3 linked regions of the Canis lupus familiaris genome follow. The protein of the gene in region 3 interacts with the protein of the main gene of each other region in a biochemical or structural test. Links are inferred from orthologs where the notes say so. Each region holds a gene or a part of one and is shown on either strand. Other genes may lie near its edges. The genes, in order: WWTR1, CACNA1D and SHANK1.

Region 1 (4,357 bases), on a different chromosome or scaffold from region 3:
TTCTACTTAATCGGGGTGCCTTTCAAGGCTATGTCATACAACATTTAACTTACTCCAACTTTAAACAAAGCCCCCCAAAAAAACTCAGGGAACTCCTGGCAGATTGCTTATCTTGAAAGACAATAGTTAACGCTGACTTAATTTCTTAAATTCCCTTAGCTACTTGGCCAGAAAGTTTCCGGGGGCTGCATCAAATCAAGCTAGCCTACTACCTACACAGTTTTTCAGCCGTGGTCTTCACTGACTATCCAAAGTGACTGAAGAGGTGCTCTGCCTTGGGCTGCAGAGTGGTTGTAGCTGGGGGAATGGACAATGAATCTGAGCGACTTTCTCTAAACCCAAAGCTAACTTCCATTTTTTTTAATTTTTTTTTTAATTCATAAGATATATATAGAGAGAGGCAGAGACCCAGGCAGAGGGAGAAGCAGGCTCCACGCAGGAAGCCGGACGTGGGACTCGATCCCAAGTCTCCAGGATCACGCCCTGGGCTGAAGGCAGCGCTAAACCACTGAGCCACCAGGGCTGCCCACTAACTTCCATTTTTGTCCTAGTTTCATCTTTCAAAACTTGTGCATAAAAGGGATTTTTTTTTTTTGCTTTTTTTTTGGGGGGGGGGGTCTTTTTTTCCTAGCTTTCCTTTGATATTAGGCAAGCCTAGCTCTTATTTCGTATTTTTAATAACCACAGTTATACTGATCACATATCATATATTTTCGTGTGTTTGGTCCCAAAGTCATTTGGGACCACCAAAGATCCCCCTAAATTACTGTAAAGTAGACCATTTTGTATTTGCATTCATTACCAAGTCCATCTCTATAAAAGTCACAATTAATATTCAAAACCCCATTTACCTAAGCAAACTTAAGATTATTTTGGAGCTTTATGTACCATAGAAACTAATGTCATCCTTCAGAACAGTATCATCACATTTAGGAAGATGTCATGTTATTCACATACTTGAATTGCACCAGCCATTTAGAAGTCAAAGCACTGAGTACATGTCTACACTAACACTCAAAGCCTGGGAGAAGGCCGGTTGTGGAATGACCATCAATCAAGTCGGCTTCAGGACAAGTGCTTCTCCACATCACACCAATCCCAGAAACAAAATAAAGAACTCCTCCTTGTACAAGATGTCAACAGCTGTGGGATGGGGAAGGAATAACTGGTCACCAGTATGAGTCAAGGACCTGGCTCCAGTAAACCTCATCCATTACTGCGGATTTGTTATTAGAGCCAACCGACAGCGATCAAGGTATCAAGTATTCGTGCCAAAGAATGGCTTGATAATATTTTTAAAAGAGCACATAATGTCTCCGGAGAAATTTTAAACGAAAGCTCTTCTTCATCAAAGAAATATGGGCTTTAAAATCAACTCTAAGGCAAGTGCTAAGAAGAGGAGTTTCCCTCCATGGCAGTGAGCCACCAGCCAGTGCAGGCAACCCTAAACCAAGTGGTCCAGCTGGCACAACTTCCATCTAGGCCATCAACAGCCTGACCCCCGCCCCCTTGACCTCACTGGTCACACTTCAAGTTCCAGCTTGGTTTCTCCTCTGGAACATAATCATCTTAGGGTACCACCATGGAAACAATATCTTTCTTATGTCTGTGAATATAGTTTCCTGTACGGTCTAATTCCAATCTGGCGTAAAAATCATTCCATCAAAAGGCCCTGACAGTGTGGAAGGGAAGAATAACAACACACAGCAGCCTCGGGATCCCAAGGTGTTTTAGGTTACTAAGTGTGACATCATAAAACTCCTGACCCAATTTCCAACACAATTGATTTTCCAGCCGCAACCACTTCACCGGGGCCGAGTCGCTAATTACATCACTGCGCTGTGTGGTCATTACATCACTCAGCTGGGAGCAGTAAGGCCTGCCCGGCGGGCCGGGCCGGGCGGCGGGGCTCACTTTTCCAGCTTGCTTTTCCCCGAGAATGGAGAGAGTGCGGACCACCTACACAGCCGAGAGTCCCTCTGCTTCCCGGGCTTCAGAAGTTTTCTAGAATGTATCTCGGTGTCACCTCCCCATGGAGCAAGCTCTGGTCCATCTGACGGGGGAGGGGCAGGTGAGGGCGTAAGTTCCCCCCCCTCCCCCCCAAGTCTATACCAACTATTCCAGATTCGGGGCAGAGTCGCCTGTGGGTTTCACAAGAATCGCCCCCAAAGCGGTGATTATTTGCACGTCCCCAGTGTCTGGGACTCCCAGGGCCCTGGAAGCGGCTCAGCCGACGCGCTCCGCTGGGTGAGGCTTCCCCACCCCAGCCCCCGGGGGCTCCCGCTCGCGGGTTCCCGGGGCTTTCGCAGACCAGCGTGCAAGGATGCAGGCTCACAGCGACGAGCGTGCGCCCCCCGCCCCCGGCCCCGGCCCCGGCCCCGGCCCCGGGCTGACTTACTTGAGGAAGTACCTCTGGCCGGTGGCCGTGAAGGTCATCTCCCAGCCCGGGGGCAGCGGCAGCTCGTCGGTCACGTCGTAGGACTGCTGGCGGAGGTGCGCGTGCTGCTGCGCGGGGCTGCCCGCGGCCCCCGCGCCCGGGCCCAGCTGCAGGGACGCGGGCGACGAGTGCGAGCGGACGTGCTGGGCGCCGCCGGCCAGCCGGGGCCCCGCGTGGCCGCCCGACGAGTCGGTGCTCGACTGGCGCGAGTGCGAGCCCGAGTCGGGCTCCTTGAAGAAGGACTCGGGCAGGATCTTCTTCCGCCACGAGCTGGGCTTGGGGTTCATGACCGAGTTGAAGAGGGCTTCGAGGTCCGTGTCGAGGTCCTGCGTGACGTGGATCACTTGCTGCCCGGGGGGCGGGAGCGCGGGGGGCACCGAGGCCGGATTCATCTTCTGCGGAGAGACGGGAGGTGCGATGAGGCTTTTAGGACGCGTCGGGGGAGGAGAGGGGCCGGGGTGCGGGTGCGGGTGCGGGGGGGGGGGGGGGGGGGAGCAGAACAGAGACAAAAGAGCTAGAGGACACGGCTCGGTGTCCGCCTCGGGATCCCAGACACCCAGGGGTGAGGCCGGCCGGGTGGGGGAGGGGTCCCTCCCGGCCTGGGGAATTATGCAACTTTCTCGAAGCCTGGAAGTTGCCCGGAGGAGGAGGAGGGGGAGGAGGAGGAGGAGGAGGAAGGGCGGGGGCGGGGGCTGAGCTGCGGAGGTCGCCGCACGGCGGGCGCGGAGGGCAGGGCGCAGCCTTCCCGGGCAGCCCCCCACCCACCCCCACCCGCCCCCGGGTCCCGCCCCGAGCCCGCCCCGCGACCCCTCCTCTCCGGGCGCCCCCGGGCGGGGCGGGGTGCGCGGCCCTACCTGGGCGCGCGGCGGGGCCGAGTCGGGGCGCGCTCGCCGTCGGGCCTCAGGGGCTCGGGCGCCTCCCGGGCTGGCGGGGCTGTGGCCGGGGCCCGGCTGGCAGATCCCGACTCGGGGCCCGGCGTCTCACATGCCCCGCACCGGCCCCGGCGCTCGCGCTGCGCGGCAGGAGGCGGAGGAGACGCAGACAGCGCGGCCGCCGCGGCTCCCGGACTGTCCCATAAACAAAGTTTGGAGCGGACTCCCTCGCCCAGGAGAGAGGCGGGCCCGAAGGCCGAGCTGCTGAATTATGCATGAGCCCCGCGGCCCGAGCCCGCCCGCGCCCGCTCGGCCCTCCCCCTCCCTCCCCCTCCCCCTCCCCCCCCCCTCCCGCCTCCCGGAGGCCCCGGGGCCCCGCAGGTACTGGGCCGGGCCGGAGCCGCCGGGCGCCCGGGGCGCTGCTCCGGGGGGCGCGCGCCTCTCCGCGGGGGCCGGGCCCGCAGTCCCTGCGTCCACCGCCACCGCCGACCGCGGGCGGGATCCGGGGACAGGGGCCTGCGCCCGTGCGATCAGGGCTTCGGACGGAAACTGAGGCCGGGGGGCGGCGGGGGGCGGAGGGCGCGCGAGCCGGGGGCGCAGGCCGGGGCAGGCCGGGCGCCGGGGTCGAGGCCTGGGGCGCCCGGAGCGCCCCGCTGAGCCGACGGCCGGGCCTGCCGCGGGGGCGCCAGGCGAGCCTTTCCACGGGGAGGCTGCTCGGCGCTTGTGACCATATTTGGTCTGGCGAGGAGGCATCTTGGCTGTCGGGCTCGCGGTTGTCTGCCGGGGCGCAGACGGTGCCCAGAAAGTGCCCCCGTCCCCGTGGCTGCGGCCTCGCCGGCAGGAGCCTGGGAAACAACCTCGAAACCGTTCATCAATCCTTAGTCTCCTCTACGCGGGACTCGGGTCACTAGAAATGGAGAAGAAACCTGGCCGGAGCCGGGTCCGGGAAAGGGACAGCAGTCGCGTCCCCCACCCCCACCCCCACCCCCCGGCCCCCGCGACATCCGCGCGGGTGGTGGGAGGATCGGAATGTCCCTGACGCCCTCCA
Region 2 (3,638 bases), on a different chromosome or scaffold from region 3:
GCTGTAAACTTCAACCACGCAGAAAGCCAGCTGCCAGTTTAAGTAGAGAGGCAAATGATAACCACACGTCAGGACAGGCGGGAACTCTAAGGATACTTACCAAGTTATGATTTGTTGAATTAGAATCATCTTCAGGGAATGGGATGTAAATAGCTAAGGCCACACAATTGGCAAAAATAGCCAATAATATAAATATGTCAAATGGTCTGAAAAATTTTGTTAAGGCATATATGTCTTATGTAAACATAAACCATTTCTCTCATCACACTCTCGATCACACCACTCTTGAATCACTTTGGAAATGAGAATTAGGCCCACGCGTCCTTTCTCGGCCGGCTGTTGTGACCACTAGGTCTCCAGCAAATATAATCGTCCGTGGTCATCTGGCAGGTCCTCCTAGCGAATGACTTTTCCATGTCCTTCCTTCCCTTGCAAGGATCACATAACGCTCTTTCTCTGCTATGCAGGTTATATTGAAACCTAAACATACATCCAACTAGGGCACCCCACGAATCGCGTCTCTGCTTCTTAAAGTTTTAAAAGTGACAAAGGCCTTAGAACACTAGGTTCCTGGCTGTTGTCGACAGAAACAGGAGCCCTCATGGGACAAGTCTCTTCCACAAACCCTTGCCTCCATGTGTTAAAGCCATTTTCTCGGGGGCTATTCCTGGCTGGGTCAGTCTCCTGTCTGGCCCCGGGCAGGCCAAGGCACCAGAACTTTCTGCATGCTACCTGTGCATGTCTCGTGGCACGTTCCAGTACCTCAGACACTGTAACAAGCAAGCCAGGCTCCAGCTCCCCTTCTGCTTCCTTTACTAATCAATGCCTATCACTGTTTCGGATTACAGCTGGACTGGAGCTCGGTTTCTAATGAGCTGTTACTGCATTCAATTTATAAACAAATTAAATAAAAAGCCATAAGAAATCAGCACCAGACACTTTGAAAGTACAATTGAACAATTCTAAATCTCGGGGGTCTGTCTGGAAGAAATCACTTTGAAGCCAGCTTGCAACAGATACTTGCTTCAACATTCAGTGTTATTAAGAGACATTGTCAAAACTGGCAATGCAAAATTTGGCTTCTGCCAGAATGACTGTTTTTCTTCTTCTGGCTTTCAGGCTTTCCGAATGCAAGGTTTCTGAGCACCAACATAATCTGCAACTTGGGGGGCAGGGGGCGGGGAGCTTAATTTTATAACCGTGTTTCTCCCATAACCTCACCCAAAAAAGGCAAAACCACTGGTTTAACTAAATATCTCCAAGTACTAAAGCTTTGAGGAGGTGAACAGACCCTTCTCCATTCATCCTGAATATCATTCCCGGAAATCCAAAAATGCTAAAGGAAACAAAGGCATCTTACTCACTGGGGATATCCTGAATCTCATGAAGAAACAGCCCCTTAAAGAGCTTCGACACTCACCACAATAAAGACATGAATGACATTCTTCTCTTACTAATTTTGAGGGGTTTATTTTTAAAGCCAATTAGCTTTCATTCATATTTATTTTTTAACTCATCTCGTATTATAAAATCTCTTATCCAAAGATCTAACCTTAAGACAGTTCTCCTGCAGAAGACTTCAGGATCCTCTTCACTTTTCCTTTTTTGCAGTTCCTACTGAAATTTTAAAAGCCAACTGCCCCAGGATTATTCTACATAGAAACACACCTGTGGTCTCTCCCATCCCCCATACCACCATTCTTCCTTTTGTAGTTCCCAATACTAAATGACAGGCCAGCAAATCTGAAAAATACCAATGCTATTCAGGAAAACCAAACACAATTTTGTTTTTCCTTTGTGCTGGTCCGGTCTCAGTTGCCAGGTGTTGGTGGATACTATCTCACTGCCACAAGATTTTCACAAGCCAAGCGGAACAGAGAGACAGAGAAATAGATGGATCTGCTCCTAAAAATTCCTTCTGATAAGGTGAACCCTCCTCATTCTCCCAAGATGCAGGACACTCTACCTCATCTGGGCGTACAAACCAATGAGGCTCTCACTCTCCCAGGGCTGACTGGGCCTGCACAGCTGGCTTTCGGAGGATTTCTCTAACATGCTCCCTGAACTAGAAGGGAACTGTCACTGGGAAAGACAAACAGATCACATGTTGTTTAAAGATCTGCTCTACAGCGCAGCCCCGGTGGCTCAGGGTTTAGCGCCGCCTTCAGCCTGGGGTGTGATCCTAGAGACGGGGATCAAGTCCCACGTCGGGCTCCCCGCATGGAGCCTGCTTCTCCCTCTGCCTGTGTCTCTGCCTCTCCCTCTCTCTGTGTGTCTCACGAATAAATAAATAAAATCTAAAAAAAAAAAAAAAAAAAAGATCTGCTCTACAGACTGTCCCATTTGTAGGCAGGCTTCTCCCTGGATTGGCAGCCACATCCCCTCGTTCCTATACATACGTGTCTGGCCATGCCTGGAAAAGTCGGCAACAAGATCCAGGAATTCAATCCGTGCACATACATTGCTATATACAAATTACTGTGCACGATGAGAAACAGCACCAGGCCTCCCACCTCACTCCACAAGAAGTCAATGACCCCGGAGAGGTCTCTGCTCACTCAGAGTCACGTCAAACCAACCTCAGGAGGAGGCGATCTTTCTGGCTGAGTGCAACCATGCTTCTGACCAGAGCGATGCCACTGAGGCACATCCTATGCACCTAGCTGCCTCCAGGCTGATGGTAGTGTTCATTCTCAGACTGGAAAAAAACTTACAGAGAAAATATATCCACGCAGCCTCAGCTATGTGAGAGACACCATAACTCCCCCTAGAGAAGAGGCATCTGTTCTCAAAAGGAAAAGCACATGAAAACCCCTCAAACCTTATCCTTGCATTTGGCTGCCCTCTCCAAAACCTTTCTGGACAAAGTTACCTCATTTTAATTCGTGTCCGTAACCTCAGAAAAGAGCCAGCTACAACAGAAGGCATGCAAAGAACTGCCTAGCTGGGTCCTTGGGGTTATAAGGGAGTTTTGGCCTCACCTTCCAGGTGGTGGTCAATATCCCTCCTTCTTAGCCCTTTCACCCTGGGCGCTGTGGGGGAAGCCCTACACTCACACTGCTTCCTATGGTTAGGAGCTACTCCAAGGCTCCTGTTGGTCCCAAATACACTTCTGGGAAAAGGAAATGCTTTGTTTTACCCAGACCAATGAATCATCTGACTAATTAGAAAGCCATTTGCTCAGAAAGGAGGCCTCAGTCAACCTCTTCTGGAGGGTGGCAGTAATTGGAGACTTGGCCTCTAGAATTGGGGAAGGGGGTGGGCAGGCCAAGCACCCTAGTTTTCCAAGATCCGGGACGTCACAACCATCCTGGGGCATTTGGAGTTCAGTTTTAAAAATACAAAGGAGACACCCAGAAATGCAACTCCAGTCCAAGGACACAGACAGAATGTTTTATAAAGGCAGCAACTGCAAATTCCCCCACTGACAGACTGCTCTCTAACTCACAAGGGCTCAGGAAGAAGAGGCGCACACAAGCCTCTCCCTCCACACGCTCCCTCACGCTCACGTTTCAAATGCTTTTTTGGAACATGTCAAAAGGAAATTCCAGGAAGTCATAGCATTGAAGAGCAAATTGCTCCCTCCCTATGAAGCAAGTGTTCATATTTGTAGCTACCTGAACAATCAGAATCGGCAA
Region 3 (4,289 bases):
GATGCCAATCCTGAAGACCATCATGCTGAAGTGGGCGTCGTCCGGGACAGACATGGAGCGGCCCTGGAGGCCTCGGGTGGAGGCCAGACTACCAGGTGCCCCGCTGCCCTGGCCCCGGGTCCCCCGGGGGCCTCTGCTGGGCCCGTCTGGGGAGCTGTCGGACTCTGAGCCCCCCTCGGGACACTCGCTGGCACTGTGGCGTTCCTCTTCCTCGCTTGACGCGGGGCTGTGGGTCATCGTGGGGCCACGGGGCGACAGGGGACAGCAGCATCACAGGCGGCTGCTGGGGCCAAGGGCAACTGTCAGGTGAGGAGCCCAGGGCTCTTAGAGGCCACAGCCACCCTCCTGGACAAGCAGTCTAGGGCAGCTGCCCCGCGTGCCCCAGGTAGACAGGAAGGAGGCCGGACACACCCCCAGCTACTCCTGCGGCCTCCGCTCACACACGCCCATCGCCACCACGCTTCCAGCAGGTCTCCTTCCTTGCCCTTGGCCCTGCTCGCAGACCCCCACCCGTCCTGCGCCCCACTTTGCCGCTGACCCAGCATGGCAGTGTCCCAGAAACCGCAGAATCACCGCGGGAGCTACTGGCCCACTTTGGCAGGCCACGGAAAATGCAGCTAAAATTAGCTGAGGACAGACAGGTGGACGACCCACCGGCATCCTGCCCTCCTGGCCCCAACCTAGCCCCTCACCCAAGGTCCTCCAGTCCTCCTCTTGGATACCTGGTGGGGGGAGGCTGAAATGTAGTAATGGGGAGACAGAGGTGCCGTGAGCCTGGGATGGCAGAAGTGGGAGGCCGCGTGGTGCCCGGGAGTGGTGCCTGGGAGCGGGTGGAACCAGTGACTTCACTGAAGTGTGGCTGACAACGTGTGCAGAGGACTGCTGGGAATCGGTGTCCCAGGGGAGCGAGGACACTAAGATAGGGGTGTCACAGGGCAGAGCATCATGCATGGGGTGTCCCCAAGGGAACCACAAGAGATGGCCGCTGCAGGCTGTTGGAGGCATCCTGAGAGAGGGGTGTGGGTAGGTGGGGAGACTGACCTGGGAGGGCCCATCCCGTGAGTGGGTGCAGTGGCCTGGGTCAGTGTGGGGTGGTTGTGGATAACCTGTGGGCACATCTGAGGACTGGCACCACAGGACAGGTGGATCAGCATTGCCTGGTACTGGCAGATCCACTCAGAGGGAGACTGGGGGCTGGGAGGGTGGCTAAGAAGTGGGATGATGGTCTGGAGGACTGGGGTGGGAAGTAATCTTCAGGTCCCCCACTATTCTCTCCTGAGGTGGCCTTATAAGCCTGGGTCCCAAATGGGGTCCACCTCCCTCTGCTTCTCCCAGTCTCCCACCCCAGCACCGGAAACCAGAATGTCTGGTCTGGTCCCTCCCCCCCACACCAGGCCCAGCTCCTGCACCGTTGCCATGGAGATGGGAAGCAGTGGAGGGTACTGCTGACTTTGGGGGAGTGGGGATGGGCTGGGGGGGTTGGGGGTTGGGGGAAGACAAAATGAGTGTGGGGGCAGGACAGTTCCAAGAGCTGTGGGTGAGTGAGCAGCTTAACCACGAGCTGGCCCACCCCTCCCCCATGCATGGCCAGGTTGCGAAGCCCCCTCCCCCTCCAGGTACCCAGCAGAGCTGCCCCACCTGGTCCGTGCGGAGGTACCCCCCTCCCTCGGCAGCCTACGGCTCCCCCCACACTCCACATCCCACCTCCGGACCCGGAGTCCGCTGCCACTCCCCCTCGGCTGACCCTGGCTGACCCCAGCCTCAGCCGGGCACTTAATGGGGTGGCCAGGGGGATGAAAGCAAAGCTGGCCCCGGCTCCCCAGCGCGTGCGGCTGCCCCCCACCCCCCAGACCAGCTCCGGCCCCTCCCCCTCAGGCCCGAGGGAGGGAGCGGGCACACTCCGCCGGGGCGGCATGAATCAAACGCTCCGCGGCTAAGAATAGCTGGCACGCAGCTGGTACTGAGACGGGCTGAGGAATCGGCGGGGGGGGGGGGGGGGGTGGAGAAGGGGAGAGAGGGGGTGCCCTGCGAGGCTGCGGGGGGACAGGGGGCGGCTGGTGTGGCCGAGAGCCGGGCCCGGGAGAATGAATGGAGGCGGAGAGAGGCGGGGAAAGGCGGGGAGAGGAGCCGGGGCTGGGGCTGAGAAACTGGTGGGGGAGAGCCCCGGGCCGGGGAGAGGGGGCGGGGGCACCCGGGAGCGGGACTCGGAGGCGGGAGCCGAGGGGGCGCGCCGGCCGGCGGAGAAGGAGAGGAGACGGGTGGGGAAGAAGGGAGGCTCGAAAGAGGGTGGGAGGGGATTGGAGGAGACTAGAAGGAGAGGCAGGAACCAGAGGGGGCCCAAGGGGGCGGAGGAGGCCAAGGCCCAGACCCCCGACGGAGGGGCAGGGAACCACGCTGACCTAGGGGAGGAGCCTCCCGCGGCGGGGCTGCAGAAGGGGTCAAGGGCCCCGGTCGGCCGGGGTGGGCGAGGCGGGGGAGTGGCCGGGCAGGGCCAGGAGGTGGGTACAGCGACCGAGCCCTTGGCCTGGGAGCACGGGGCAGCGGGCTGGGGGCCTTATGGGCGGGGGGATGGGGGGGCGCATCCTCCCCTCAAGTCTGCTATCTGGGACGGGGCACGGGGGACCGGGGCGTAACCCAATTTGGCGTCGCCCGGGGCAACGCTCCCCTCCTCACCCCACCCCCCACCGCACACCCGGGCCGGGAGCCCGGCGCGCGGCCAAGGACGTCCGGGGCGCCCCTGCCCCCTCCCGCGGCCCCGGCCCCGGCCCCGGCCCCGCAACTCCCCGAAACCCCCGGGTTTTCGGCCCCCTTACCTGCCTGGCGGGGCTGCTGAGTCCCGGTCGGCGGCGCCCGCGGCCCCTCCCCCCTCCCCCCACCCCCCACCCCCCCGGAGACGGGGGACCCTCAGGCCATGCCCCACCGCCCCGGAGGGCGAGCGGGCCGGGGAGGGGGCGGGCGGGGGCCGGGGGGGAGGGCGGGGGGGCCGAGGACCTCACCCCCCCCGCGGGCCGGGCCTGGCCATCCGCAGAGCGCCCCCCCTTCTGCCGCGGCCGCCGCGCCCCTCCGGGCTAGCCCGCCCCCGGCTCGGTCCGGCCGGCTCCGGGCGCGGCGTCTCCGCCTGCTCTTCCTCCTCCTCTTCCTCAAGCCGCCGCCGCCGCCGCCGCCGCCGCCCGCTCCGCGCCTCCTCTGCCTCCCTTCTCGCTCTCTCGCTCTCACTGTCTCTCCCTCACCCTGTCTCTCTCTCTCCCTCCCTCTCTCCCTCCCCTCCCTCCGCCCTCTCCCCTCCCTCCGGAGCCAGCAGAGGAGATATCGCCCCTCCCCGCGCCCCCAAACCTCGCCCATCCCCCCAGCCGGCTCCACCCCCTCCCCTGCCTCCCCCCCATCCTCATCGCCACCAGATAACCCAAGGGGGCTCTACCCCTGCTTGCTCCCTACCCGGACCATGGGGCCCCGCCCCCCTAAGGGTACCGCTCCACACACACACACACACACACACACACACACACACACACACCAGGACCGCCCCTTCCCACAGCGCTTCCCAACCCCTCTACACACAGTAGGACACAGTGAATATTTGTTGCTAGACTCTACATTTCCAAACTGGATTGTGAGAGCTATAGATTTCTGTCCCCCCCAACACACACACAAACACACACACACAAACACACACACACACACACACACACACACACATCTTCCCCCAAGGCACAGGTGCTTAGAGTCACTAGCTGGCCCTGCTAGGAACGTGTGCACATTACCCCATATACATACTCTCCAAGGCATGCATGACCTAACATACCTGAGTGTACATCACCACAAACACACCTAGCTACATGTACATATCACACCCGCTGTCCAGGGCAGACACGCAGCACAGCAGTAACCCCCTCACCCAGAGGGGCAAGCACCCAGGTGGGCATGCTCAGATCTCCAGCTCACACGCATGCCAGAAACAGAGGCACGCGACTATAAGGAGACATGTGCATGCAGCCCCATCACACTCACCCACCTCACCATTTCACAGGTGTGTGCACACATCCAGTTAGAGGCACAACATAGTGCCACAGCTCCCCTCCTAGCTGACATTTCTTGAGCACTTCCTGTGTGCCAGGCTCTGCTCTGGATTCACTCATCGACTTTTCACATCAATCCTTTGGGCTGTGGATTTTCACCATCCCCATTTTCCTGAGCAGGAAACTGGGGCACAGAGAAGCCCAAGGTCACCTAGCTATAAAGAGGTGGTACCAAGGATCAGGGACAGGTAGGCTGGCTCAGTCTCTATGCCA

What was found.
Region 1: the proteins of SHANK1 (region 3) and WWTR1 interact in a test that uses a peptide from one of them, tested with the Homo sapiens proteins (2 studies listed by IntAct, with this or other methods). The link is inferred for Canis lupus familiaris from reciprocal best matches to the Homo sapiens genes SHANK1 and WWTR1.
Region 2: the proteins of SHANK1 (region 3) and CACNA1D interact in a biophysical measurement, tested with the Homo sapiens proteins (2 studies listed by IntAct, with this or other methods). The link is inferred for Canis lupus familiaris from reciprocal best matches to the Homo sapiens genes SHANK1 and CACNA1D.

Annotation. Positions count from the first base shown.
Region 1 is NC_049244.1:44,926,499-44,930,855, forward strand, and holds the start of WWTR1 (WW domain-containing transcription regulator protein 1), read right to left. Parts: upstream 2,833-4,357; 5' UTR 2,830-2,832; coding exon 2,399-2,829; intron 1-2,398. UniProt on the Homo sapiens protein: Transcriptional coactivator which acts as a downstream regulatory target in the Hippo signaling pathway that plays a pivotal role in organ size control and tumor suppression by restricting proliferation and promoting apoptosis.
Region 2 is NC_049241.1:36,773,004-36,776,641, forward strand, and holds part of CACNA1D (voltage-dependent L-type calcium channel subunit alpha-1D), read right to left. Parts: intron 207-3,638; coding exon 101-206; intron 1-100. UniProt on the Homo sapiens protein: Voltage-sensitive calcium channels (VSCC) mediate the entry of calcium ions into excitable cells and are also involved in a variety of calcium-dependent processes, including muscle contraction, hormone or neurotransmitter release, gene expression, cell motility, cell division and cell death.
Region 3 is NC_049222.1:106,749,479-106,753,767, reverse strand, and holds the start of SHANK1 (SH3 and multiple ankyrin repeat domains protein 1), read right to left. Parts: upstream 2,882-4,289; 5' UTR 2,814-2,881; intron 834-2,813; exon of another isoform or gene 723-833; intron 281-722; 5' UTR 238-280; coding exon 1-237. UniProt on the Homo sapiens protein: Seems to be an adapter protein in the postsynaptic density (PSD) of excitatory synapses that interconnects receptors of the postsynaptic membrane including NMDA-type and metabotropic glutamate receptors via complexes with GKAP/PSD-95 and Homer, respectively, and the actin-based cytoskeleton.